3 linked regions of the Sus scrofa genome follow. The protein of the gene in region 3 binds, or shares a complex with, the protein of the main gene of each other region. Links are inferred from orthologs where the notes say so. Each region holds a gene or a part of one and is shown on either strand. Other genes may lie near its edges.

Region 1 (3,500 bases), on a different chromosome or scaffold from region 3:
ACGGTTGTGACAATGACACCAACTCCACATTGCTGCGGAAGAGTGTAAGTGAGCTAATTCAGCTAAACAGGTTAAGACCCACTAGTGGCCACTGAGGAAGGGGAAGCCCATGGTACTCCTTGGAGCCTCAGAAGGGAGCCAAGAGGCAGCATGTACACCAGTCAGGGGAATCTGGATTTTAATCCTGGTTCCGTCACTCACTGGCTGGGACAAGCTATTCCAATTTTGGAAGCCTTGCTTTATCTGGCTGTAAAGTGGGTAACGATGGGATGCAGTGATATTTATAGAGTGTCTGATTGGTCCTTGATAAACGGTGGCTTCAATAAGAGAGAAGAGGGACTAAACGGAGGAAGATTTCTGGGTCCCAAACCTGCAGCCCAGGGGAGCCAGGGGGAAGCCAAGGCCCTGCTCTCAAGGGGGACTCATGGGGCAGAAGCAGCTCTGGCCCAACAGGTCACCAGTGTTTTTGGGGGGCAGGCAGTGGTGGGGCCATAGCGCCAAACAGACCTCTGTGTTTTTTGTTTTTGTTTTTGTTTTTTTTTTAATGAAGAAACTGCGGCCCAAGAGGGGAAGGGCCAGGCTCAAGGTCAGCAGGCCGGCTGCAGGGCTGGGGCATGGGAGGCCTGGTCTCTCATTCCTGCACCCCGGCCAGGTGTCCCTGGGCTCCATCCAAGCAGGAAACTCCTCCGTGGTCTGTAGCTATTCTTTGAAAGCGTTTCTTTGAGGGTCATTATCAGCTCAGTGCTCATCTGTGTGTGGGGTGGGGGTGGCGGTTTGAATTGCTTCTTCAGCAGCATCTGTGATGGCAATGGTTTTAGCTGCGTAGGAGGGACCTCAGCAAAGGACACAGAGATCTCAGCACCCAGAAGGCAACTCTTAGGGTGGGAACCAAAAAGGAGTATCAGCGTGGGAGACCCAGGCATGTTTCTTAATTCTCTGCAGAGCGGGGGCTGTCTGTGGTCACACTGAGGGGCAGAAGACCAAATCTGGAGACTGTGACACAGGGGAGGGCCAGGGACGTGGGGGAAGCTGAAAGGTATGGCAATTTAGAGCATGACCTGTGAGGGTCAGAACTGGGTCTGAGCCCAAGCTCTGCCACTGTTTGTAAATGCTGAGCCTCAGTTGACGCATCTGTGAAAGGGAGCCAGGAGCAGAGCCCGCCTCCGTGGGTGGGCATGAGGCCAAAGAAACTGATGTGTCCAGAGTGCCAGCGACGTACCTGAGCCTCCCACTGGCACAGGGACTGCTGGGCCACTGTATTTGGTTCAGGGTAGCTGCGGGTTCTGCAGACAGAACCTTCCAGATGAACTTCCTCTGTGACTCAGGTGCAATTTGGAGGTCAGGGGTGTGAACGTGACTCCTTGAGTCACTGAGTTTCATTCCAACAAAAGATGGGACTGCAGGCCAGCTCTGCTGACTCCCAAGTTCACCGGTCTCCCCAGCAAGCCATGTCCAAGGCCACTGTTTGGGGCCCTTGGAGTTGGGTTTTGCATCATTCGTGTGACTCTGTGGCAGTGCCAGGGGACCTGATGACTTGGTGTCTAAAGCAGGAGAATACCCACCCGGAGGGGGTTCCCGCCCAACGGGAGCTCTCCTCAGGGGTCAGGCAGGTCAGCTTGGGGTCATGTGAGAACATGTCCCCTGCATGCAGAGAAGGAAGGGGGGATCTCGGCAGGTGGGGGGCTTTGGCCAGTCCCTGCCACACGGCTCACACTCACACAGCTGTGCTGGTCGCTGCTCCAAGCACGTGACATATGTTGACTCATTAAAGCCCCCCAGCCATGCCTGGTGCAGATTTTGTCATTACCTCCAGGTGGGTGACAGTGGCTAGGGATGTGACTTGCCCCAAAACACTTTTGGAAAAAGTTTCAGGGCTGAGACTTGAACACAGGCTGCTGGGCTGCAGAGTCTGGATCGTTCACAGTGGGTAGACGGTGGGCACAGGGAGGGTTTCTGAATGGAGGGTTTTAGGGAGTTGGGTATGAGAGAGGGTGAGGCTGGAATGATGGAAGACCTCCTCGGGGCAAGGGAGAGGCAGAGACAGAGAAAGAGAGAGAGAGAGGGAGAGAAAGAGACAGAGAGACAGAGACAGAGACAGAGAGAGGAACAGACAGATAAAGACAGAGCAACAGAGACAGAGAGATAGGAGATAGACAGAGACAGACAGAGACAGAGACAGAGAGGAGACTATAGAGAGACAAAAGCCCAGGGCCTCTTCATCAGGGATGCAAAGAAGAAGAGATGCCTGGGGGCTCAAACAACATGCATTCATTGTCTCACAGTCCTGGAGGCTGGAAGTCCAAGATCAAGGGCAGGCAGGGCTAGTTGCTCTTGAGGCCTTTCTCCTTGGCTTGTCCCTGATTGTCTCTCATTGCTCCCTCTTCCCTGTGTCCTCATAGCCCTCACGTGGTCGCCCCTTGGTCTGTATGTCTGTGTCCTAATCTTCTCCTCTCATAAGGACACCAGTCTCATGGGATCTGGACCTGCCTATGATGTCATTTTAATTTTAATCACATCTTGACAGACCCTGTCTCTAAACACAGTCACATTCTGAGGACGTGATGTTATGACTTCACCATATGAATCTGGGGGCATGATTCAGCCCATCACGGAAGAGGAAGGAAGTCTTGCTCATGTTAGAGGGCACAGTGCCCTCAAGAGAGAAGGGTGCTTCTGATGAAGGACAAGGGTGGCCTTGGGGGTCCCAGAGCAGCCCTGGGGAAGGAGAGGGGGGACCAGTGACACTGTGTGTTCAGTGACGAACCACTGCAGCCTGGCACCCTGCCCACCAATGAGTACATGCAGAGAGTGACAAGAACAAAGCCAGCAGTACAGCAGGAACCACTGAATGGAGTTTGAGCTCATAGACGGACACCAGGTCTTGCAAATGTCACACCCCAGGACCAGGTGGCGGTTAGAGGTCATGTATAGAAACAGTGCTAGTTCCTGGCTACCACAGAGATGCTGACCAGCCAGAACATGGGAGAAGAAGCCTCTGCACCAGGTCCCATCGCCCCACATTCCATCACCTGGTACCTTGATGTGGATGAAAGGAGGCTCCTTGCTCTGGTGGCCAGTCCCCACCTAGGGTCCCGCTCCTCTGCCTGTCCTTCCTCTTGCTACCATTAGAGGTCCCCACCCCAGGTCTCTGTCCTCCAGCCCCTGCTGGGCTCCCTAAACCCTGACTCCCAGCCTCTCGGGTTCATCATCTCCCTTCGGGCTGCTTGTTGGCAGTGCCATCTTCTGGAATGTCAGCTTTGCATGTTTCTTCCCGTCTTGTCTCTGAGGATTCACTGGCCGCCCACCCCCTCTGAGGGCATCTTCTACTCTTCCTTTCAGAGTGACGGGCGGCCACAATGCGGCTCTGCCTCCTCCTGTGCCTGGTGCTTCTCAGCCCGCGGGGGGCCTCCCTTGGCCGCCACCACTCCCGGGAGACCAAGAAGAGAGTCCTGAAGTTGCCTCCTGCAGTCGCCACGGTGGCCCCTGGCATCAGGGACTTT
Region 2 (3,425 bases), on a different chromosome or scaffold from region 3:
GGCCGAGTAGTGGGACAGCCAGTTGGTCGGGCCCCCCTGCTTGGGGCCAAGGTTGTGGGCAGTGAAGTTAGGAAGGAGGCAGGTACAAGAGGAACTTTTTTTTTTTTTTTTTTTTTTTTTTAAATAGCCAGAGTAAAGGCATATGGAAGTTTCCAGGCCAGGGACTATATCTGAGCCACAGTTGTGATCTACACTGTAGCTGCAGCAACACCATATCTTTAACCCACTGCACAGGGGCAGGGATCTAACCCACACCTCTGCAGTGGCCCAAGCTGCTGCAGTTGGATTCCTAACCCACTGCGCCATAGTGGGAACTTACAGGAGGGGATGTTTTTAGGGAAGAAACAACAGGGTTCGTTGACCACCTGGCTATGTGGGCTAAGGTGCCTGCAAGAGCCTGCTTCTGCCTTGAGTGCATTTCTTTGTATTCTTGTCCTGGGGGGAGGCCCAGCCAGGTTCACTCCTGAACATAGGCCCAGCCAGGATCTGGAGGACAGAGGGTGACATGTGCATCTTTCCTACCTCTCACCCGCTGAGCGATATTGGGGGTCAGGGAAGTGCAGCAGGGCTCCGAGGGCGATGCCATCCTCACAGAGAGCAGACACCTTTCTCACAAATGTACTCTGATCACCTCTTGCCTAGTGAGAGGTTTGATTGAGTTAACCTCAGCTCAGGGGTGGGGCTGGGTGTTCATGCACACTGTCCCTTTCTCTACAGTGATATCCTTGGCCCCAGCCCCCAGAGGTACCTATTTGTCATGCTCTTCTGCCATTTCTCCACCACCTGGGGTGTCAGCTGCGCCTCCAGGGTCTTCATCCCAGACAGCTTGTGCGGGACCACGACCAGCATGCTGACGCCCCCCACATAATCCAGCTGCAGGATCTCACAGTCCAGCTCCTGGTCACTTGCTGCCAGGAAGGCCCCTTTGGTCTGCATCATGGGGACCTTGACCACCTCTCGCTCATTCAGCCTGAAGTTGTGGTTGTGGGTCATTTCCACTGGGAATTTATTCACCCAAGACCCTGCGAGGGAGACAGGAATCGGGCTGTGATTAAAGTGCTCTCAGAGGGTTCAGGCAGACTCCGTGCCCCCCACACACATCTGAACCCACAGTCTGGCTGGGGCCAGGAGTTTTGGTTTCTAAGCAGTTCCCAGGTGACACTGATGCTGCTGGTCCAGGGACCCCACTTTGAGAACCACTGTTTTAGAAGCTTCCTGTGGGAGGCGTGAGGATGACAGAGGGAGTGATAAACAGGAATGAAGGCTGGGTTCTTTACTGACACTAACCATCAAGGAGCCGGAGACTCCCTGGGGGAGGCTGAGCCACGGGCGGCCTGCCTCTGATCTGGGCCCGCCCTGAGGAGGGGCTGCTCTGTGGTGATGGTGGGTGTTGAGCAGCACCCCCAGGTTGTGCTGTCTGCCCTGAGGGTGGATCCCTCCCCCAACCAGCTCTGTTGAGGCCTGACCTGTTTTCGCCATGCTTTACAAAGTGGTTGTAACACTTAGAATTAAAAGTTTTCATTCACTTGATTTGTCTTCTCTGAGCCAGGACAGGAACTCCCCTCCTGGGCATTTTAAAAGTGAGGCCTTGGTGATTATTTCTGGGATCCCAGGGCCCTGTGTGTGTGAGTATGTGCTCAAGTGGGGGGTTGGGGTGTCCTCCTGAAGCAGGGCCTTGATGCCTGGCCCAGAGCAGTTGCTCTAGACCTAAGAGTTGATACCCGCCCCCACCCTCCCAAAAAGAAGCTCTAGTGTTAATGTCAGCGATGCCAGCTGAACCCACCTTTGTCCACACTCATACTCACTGATGAAGAACTCAGATCCAGCCTGGCCAGATATGGAGAAGGTTTTTGTATGATTCTGGTTTAACAGAGCACTAGGGATGGCCTACTAGGAGAGCTTGGCTCTGCCCCTGACCAACCATCTTTTGGGGCAGCGTTTTCCTCACTGTCTGTAAAATGGAGGCCCTTTAAGTGTTAGCTGCTCTGTTACCTCCTCAGATCCTCCCCATTCCCAGAGCTGAGCCTGCACCTGAGTCTCCTGGGCACATCGAGGTCAGACGTGGTTTTTGCCCACCCACCCGCATGCTAAGAGAGCATGTCCACATGTTCCATTGTGGCTTAGTGGTACCAAACCCAACTAGTATCCATGAGGACGCAGGTTTGATCCCTGCCTTCAGTAGGTTGAGGATCTGGCATTGCCATGAGCTTCAGTATAGGTCACAGATGTGGCTTGGATCCTGCACTGCTGTGGCTGTGGTTTAGGCTGACAGCTGTACCTCCGATTTGACCCCTAGCCTGGGAAACTTCCATATGCCATGGACTTGGCCCTAAAAGAAAAAGAAAAAAAAAAAAAAAAAAAAAGGCACATCTGAGTCTGCTTTGGGAAGCGTGGGGCTATTTCTTACCTTTAAAGTAGATGCAGTTCAGGATCATCATCTGAGTCGCAGGGTCTATGTCCTGCAGAGTGTCCTTTATGAGGCCCTTGGTGAGTCTTGCAACGTGGTGGTTAGTCTCCGATAGGAAGGCAGGGTCTGCAAAGTCGGCCGCCTGGACCTCGGCAAAGTAGTACTGTCTGACCTTGGTTCTGAAGTCATCCAGAATGGGGAACTGCCTCTGGACGTAAAGGTCGTTGACAGCCCGCAGCGTGTACCCGAAGTCCCTCCGGAAGAGGCGGTGGGTCAGCTTCCGGAAGAGGTTGTGGATAGTGCCCAGCTCATACTTGCTGCTGGCATTGACAAAGTCCGTGAAGTGCAGGGCCGCATGCACTTGCTTGTGGGTCTCCCCGCGCAGGCCCAGGCAGAGCATGCCCATGGCCGTGGAGATGCCCACAGGCGCCAGGAAGATGTTGTCTGAGGCACTGGCCTGCTCCTTCAGTGCCCGGTAGAGGTTGAAGGCGAACTTGGCATTGAGAATGTTCAGTCTCTGGATGCGGCTCTTGCCTGGGAAGAGCTGGAGCACATTCCCTGCACTGGCCATGGGGTCTGCAGGCGAGACTGCATCCACGATGTCAATGTAGTCGTCATCATCCCCAAAGATCTTCTCCAGGTCCAGGTAGTCCTCGTCCTCCTCTCCATCTGCAATCCACTCATTGGTGACTGTGTCCTTGTGGAAGTCAGTGGGGAGGAGGGGCCTGCTTTGGTTTCTGCTCTTCATTTGCCCCCACCGGGGGTCTGCAGACTTGGGGTCCTCCCCACCATCAACGGGCTGGCCCACCAGGCCATGCTTGCCACACACGGATGCCAGGAGAAGAAATAGCATGAGGGGGTGTGGTGAGCGCTGCATTTTGGCAGAGCTGGAGGGAGAACCAGACAGAGTAAGAGGTAGACCCCATACTTACATATATCCTGGCAGACACCGCCCCAGCCTTGATCCAGGAGGGTGCACTGGGGGTGCCAGTCCCAAACCATTTTGGTTCTGGTGAAT
Region 3 (4,143 bases):
TGTGGCTCAGTGGTAAGGAACCTGACAGGATACGAATTTGATCCCCGGCCTCACTCAGTGGGTTAAGGATCCGATGTGGCCATGAGCTATGGTGTAGGCCTCAAACATGGCTCTGATCTGGTGTTGCTGTGGCTATGGTGTAGGCTGGCAGCTGAAGCTCTGACTCAACCCCTAGCCTGGTAACTTCCATGTGCCACGGGGTGCGACACTAAAAAAAAAAAAAAAAAAATTGAAAAGTAGGAATGGATATATATATATGAAGTAGACCACCCAGGAATTAAGCTGATTTGTGGGGTTCCTGGCCCCCAGTTCTCTGCCAACCCTCTCCCCTGTTTTGCACCAGGCCCCTCCCTGTGGTCTTCCCAGATTGTACATGACCGAGGCCCAGACCCTGAACAGCCAGGCCCAAGGGACTGCAGGACAAGAACCTGTACTCCCTGTGTTCCTGCTCTTTGGCCCTTTGTCCCAGTTCGACCCAGGACTAATATTTACCTTTCATACTGCAAACAGGAAGTGGGGGAGAGATGGGAGCAGAGCTGGGCAAGGAGTAGTGTGGGACCAGTAGCCACTCCAGGTCTGGCCCCAGGCAGACAGTCATATACCTACTCCGGGGCAGGCCGCAAGTCCTGGGAGAGAAAGCAGACCAGAAGCCAGAGAGGCCCTGGGCCTGGCTCCTCCTCTTAGGCAACCAGCACTCACAAACATGCCTCCAGGGCTTCCAGACGAGGAAGAGGGGAAATGGGACCCTCATCAGGGCGGAGAGGCTGGGGCCAAGGTCCAGCCCAGTGTGACCTGGGACAAGGTAGCAGCTCTCAGCTGGCTGCTCCCTTGCCTCTGTTTTCTCACATCTGTGCGTGGTGATGACACATACCTCCTCGCTGGTTTACATCCATGTAGATGATTATTAAGCTCTTGCTATGTATTTATAATCTCCTTTAGTCCTCACAATAAGATACTCATCCCATTTTACAGATGAGGAAACCGAGGCCCACAGGGATCAAAGCAACCACCACCTGTGCATGTGTTAGGATTGGAAGGAGACTTGGGAAGAGCTCGTGACCCCACTGGCCTAGGTTGGCCCGTGCCTCCGGGAGGGAGGGGCTGGACAATGGTGGTTACGTTGATCTTTGCTACACGACTCCGTCCCAGACCATCCATCCCTGGTCCCAGGAGGACCTGTCCTCCCAGGTGGCGGGAGTGAACTATCTATCCACTTGTCCCCATGGCCCTGACCCGCTGACCTCTGTCTCCCAGCTGATTTCTTCATGTTAGTTCAACATTAACCCAGAGGGGTCAGGAAAAGCCCTCAGAGTCCTGGGAGCCGACACACTATGGCGCACGTCGGAGGCCTGTGGCTTCCTGGCTGCTTGGCCCTGGCTGTCCTCGTTAGCCTTGTGCACAGCCAGCATGGTAAGGGGGGCCTGGAAGCTGGGACAGACCGGCAGACTGGGATGTGGGCCAGGGGGCTGGGGTCTCCTGGCTCGACAAAGAACACGGCGCCGGCCCCCAGCCGGGTCTCAGCTCACGGTGTCCAGCTGAGGGAAGGAGCCGGGTGCTCAGGGCTGGACAGACAGGGACTGCTTCTCCTCTTGCAATACCGGGAGAGGGCTGGGGCTGACCTGTGAAAGGAGGGGTGCTAGTGGGCTGCTGTTAGCAGCCTCTGGGGGGCAGCCGCCATCCCAGAATCTCCCTTTTGGAAGCCAGCAGGCAGGCCAGGCTTGCTTCCTGCCCCCATGGTGGCCAAGACAACCTGGCTCCCAGAGGCCACTGTCCCACGCCCCTCCTCCCGCAGTGTTCATGGCCCCTCAGCAAGCACTGTCGCTGCTCCAGCGGGCCCGACGCGCTAACAGCGGCTTCTTCGAGGAGATGCGGAAGGGCAACCTGGAGCGAGAGTGCGTGGAGGAGCAGTGCAGCCGCGAGGAGGCCTACGAGGCCCTGGAGTCTCCCAGTGAAACGGTGAGCTCCCCCGAGAGGGAGACCCCAGCTGCAAGAGCACAAAGGAGGGGGGTGCGGAACCTGGCAGCTCTTATCTTCATCTCTGGGCCCTGTTTCACTGGGCTGCCATGATGAGCAGCTCAGCCTCTGGGAGGCCCTGTCACTTGGGCTGTGTCAGGGTCCTGGGGTCTGGTGAGGCTTCAGCATGTCAGGGGTCCTCCCCGGTCTTCAAACATCTGTCTATGTTGGGGTCACTAGAGCCCCCAGTCCTGGACACGTAGCCTATCAACTTTAGTGTTTGTTTTGTTTTGTTTTTGTTTTTGTCTTTTTGTCTTTTCTAGGGCCGCTCCCGTGGCATATGGAGGTTCCTAGGCCAGGGGTCGAATTGGAGCTGTAGCCCCCGGCCTACACCTGAGCCACAGCACCGCGAGATCCAAGCCGAATCTGCAACCTACACCACAGCTCACGGCAACGCCAGATCCTTAACCCACTGAGCAAGGCCAGGGATTGAACCTGCAACCTCATGGTTCCTAGTCGGATTCATTAACCACTGAGCCACGACGGGAACTCCAGCTTTAGTTTTGCTGTGACTTGTGTGCCCCCTTGGGAGGTGGGTGTCTGGTCAGGCCCAGAGACCAGCTTCCCCTTCCCGGAGGCTCTGCCTGGGCCCCTCTCCTCCAGTCCACCCCCACCAGGAGATTCCCTTTCAGCCTTGGCCAACAGAAGATGGGGGGCTCCTCTCTCCTCAAATACTTGGGTTTTTGGGAAAAAAATTAGGAAACTCTGCCACAACCTCCCCAGAGCCAGCCCTGCGTGACCAGGGTAAGGGAAAGAGGATGGTCTAAGAAGGCAGAAAGTTTACTAAAAAAACAAAGCAGGATCCTGCCACAGCCTCACTCTCAGCCCTTGTTTTTCAGGATGCATTCTGGGCCAAGTACACAGGTGAGCACTGGGAAGGGTTTGCTCCAAGAAGGGAGTCTGGGGACCCCAGAGAGAGAATGCTCCGTCCCTGAGACCCTTCTGGTCCATCCAGGCATCCCTGCCTCCACCCAGGTCTCTCCCTTCTATCTATCTGCCCATCTCTGTTTCTGAATGTCATCCCATCTACCCTTCGCTTGAACCCATCCTGTCTCTGCCTTGATCTCAGTGGTTTTTCTGGGTCTTTTCCAGCTTGTGAGTCAGTGAGGAAATCTCGAGAAAAGCTGGTTGAATGTCTGGAAGGTAAGGAACTGACATGGGGGTTGGGGGGACAGGATATGAGGGGATAGCCTTGGAAAAGAGCACAGTAGGGGTGGGTGAGGAGTTGTGGCCCAAGGGTGGTGGCCTCTGGCATCTGACATTGCCATTCTGGTCCTGAGGTCCAGGATATATCTTTGCACCTGGCTCTGTGCCTGACAGGAAGATGATTAATGTTGGAGAAACTAATTAATGAATGGGTAATGAATGATGATTTTAAGGCTTCACTCTCATCCAAACCCTACATATGCCAGGCAGTCTTCCCCGTGTGCCCGAGGCAGAGCTCCAGTGATGTCACATTCATTCTCCAAAGCCTTGAGGGGCTCCCCACTGCCCCCAGAACAGAGCACAGGCTTCTTACTTCTTAGCCTGGTGAATTTAGCAGGTTCTGGCCTTTACCTTCCCTTTTAGCTTTAGCTCCCATTGCACTAACTCTGCACCCAGACCCCCAGCTTGCTGACAGCAAGCACTTCTCTAAACAGGCCTAGATGTTTCTATCTCCTGGCCCCTGCTTACATTGTCATCTTCCCCTGGCGTAATCATCATTGCCCTGCTGAAAACCTCCCTATCCTTCGAGAGCTAGTTCAAATGCCACCACCTTGCTGAGCCTTCAAGGTGCATCCGCCCTCTTCCACAGCATCCTGGACACACCTTTAGTATAACATTAGGCCCCACTAGTGGAACTCCGTGAATCACTGGCCATACTTTCATTTGTTATATAAGTTATTCAGTAGACATTTAACTAAGCCCCTGCTGTGTATCAAGGACTAAGGCGAGTGTTGGGGATTTTAAAAGAATCAGGGAGACGGCAGTTTCATAGGAAAATAAAAATACAAAACATCAAAGTAATTGATGGGAAAGTTCTGATCCAGGGGACGAGAGCATTCTAGGAGAGGGAGCGTTTTATTTGCGGGCCGAGTCAAGGACAGCTCTCCAGAAGAAGGAGAGTTCTACCTGGATTTGTGGGATGCA

Evidence for each region.
Region 1: the proteins of F2 (region 3) and SERPINA5 are in contact, whole or in part, in a crystal structure (PDB 3B9F), measured with the Homo sapiens proteins. The link is inferred for Sus scrofa from reciprocal best matches to the Homo sapiens genes F2 and SERPINA5. Residues at the interface, in NP_000497.1 of Homo sapiens: Arg383, Pro386, Glu388, Leu389, Leu390, Cys391, His406, Cys407, Tyr410, Pro412, Trp413, Asp414, Lys415, Trp455, Glu457, Asn458, Leu459, Asn506, Arg541, Ile542, Asp562, Ala563, Cys564, Glu565, Gly566, Asp567, Val588, Ser589, Trp590, Gly591; in NP_000615.3 of Homo sapiens: Gln241, Lys295, Lys296, Arg297, Thr368, Ile369, Phe370, Thr371, Phe372, Arg373, Ser374, Ala375, Arg376, Leu377, Asn378.
Region 2: the proteins of F2 (region 3) and SERPIND1 are in contact, whole or in part, in a crystal structure (PDB 1JMO), measured with the Homo sapiens proteins. The link is inferred for Sus scrofa from reciprocal best matches to the Homo sapiens genes F2 and SERPIND1. Residues at the interface, in NP_000497.1 of Homo sapiens: Lys384, Ser385, Pro386, Gln387, Leu389, Leu390, Cys391, His406, Cys407, Tyr410, Pro412, Trp413, Asp414, Lys415, Leu423, Arg425, Ser430, Thr432, Arg433, Tyr434, Lys440, Ile441, Ser442, Met443, Asn458, Leu459, Lys470, Trp511, Ala513, Asn514; in NP_000176.2 of Homo sapiens: Glu75, Asp76, Asp77, Asp78, Tyr79, Leu80, Leu82, Ile85, Phe86, Asp89, Asp91, Val305, Glu306, Met307, Thr308, His309, Gln327, Asp343, His361, Lys362, Arg388, Thr457, Val458, Gly459, Phe460, Met461, Pro462, Leu463, Ser464, Thr465.

What each region holds. Positions count from the first base shown.
Region 1 is NC_010449.5:115,802,414-115,805,913, forward strand, and holds part of SERPINA5 (plasma serine protease inhibitor), read left to right. Parts: intron 1-3,339; 5' UTR 3,340-3,356; coding exon 3,357-3,500. UniProt on the Homo sapiens protein: Heparin-dependent serine protease inhibitor acting in body fluids and secretions. Inactivates serine proteases by binding irreversibly to their serine activation site. Involved in the regulation of intravascular and extravascular proteolytic activities.
Region 2 is NC_010456.5:50,430,121-50,433,545, reverse strand, and holds part of SERPIND1 (heparin cofactor 2), read right to left. Parts: intron 3,295-3,425; 5' UTR 3,285-3,294; coding exon 2,408-3,284; intron 1,023-2,407; coding exon 749-1,022; intron 1-748. UniProt on the Homo sapiens protein: Thrombin inhibitor activated by the glycosaminoglycans, heparin or dermatan sulfate. In the presence of the latter, HC-II becomes the predominant thrombin inhibitor in place of antithrombin III (AT-III).
Region 3 is NC_010444.4:15,816,304-15,820,446, reverse strand, and holds the start of F2 (prothrombin), read left to right. Parts: upstream 1-1,295; 5' UTR 1,296-1,331; coding exon 1,332-1,410; intron 1,411-1,792; coding exon 1,793-1,956; intron 1,957-2,852; coding exon 2,853-2,877; intron 2,878-3,105; coding exon 3,106-3,156; intron 3,157-4,143. UniProt on the Homo sapiens protein: Thrombin, which cleaves bonds after Arg and Lys, converts fibrinogen to fibrin and activates factors V, VII, VIII, XIII, and, in complex with thrombomodulin, protein C. Functions in blood homeostasis, inflammation and wound healing.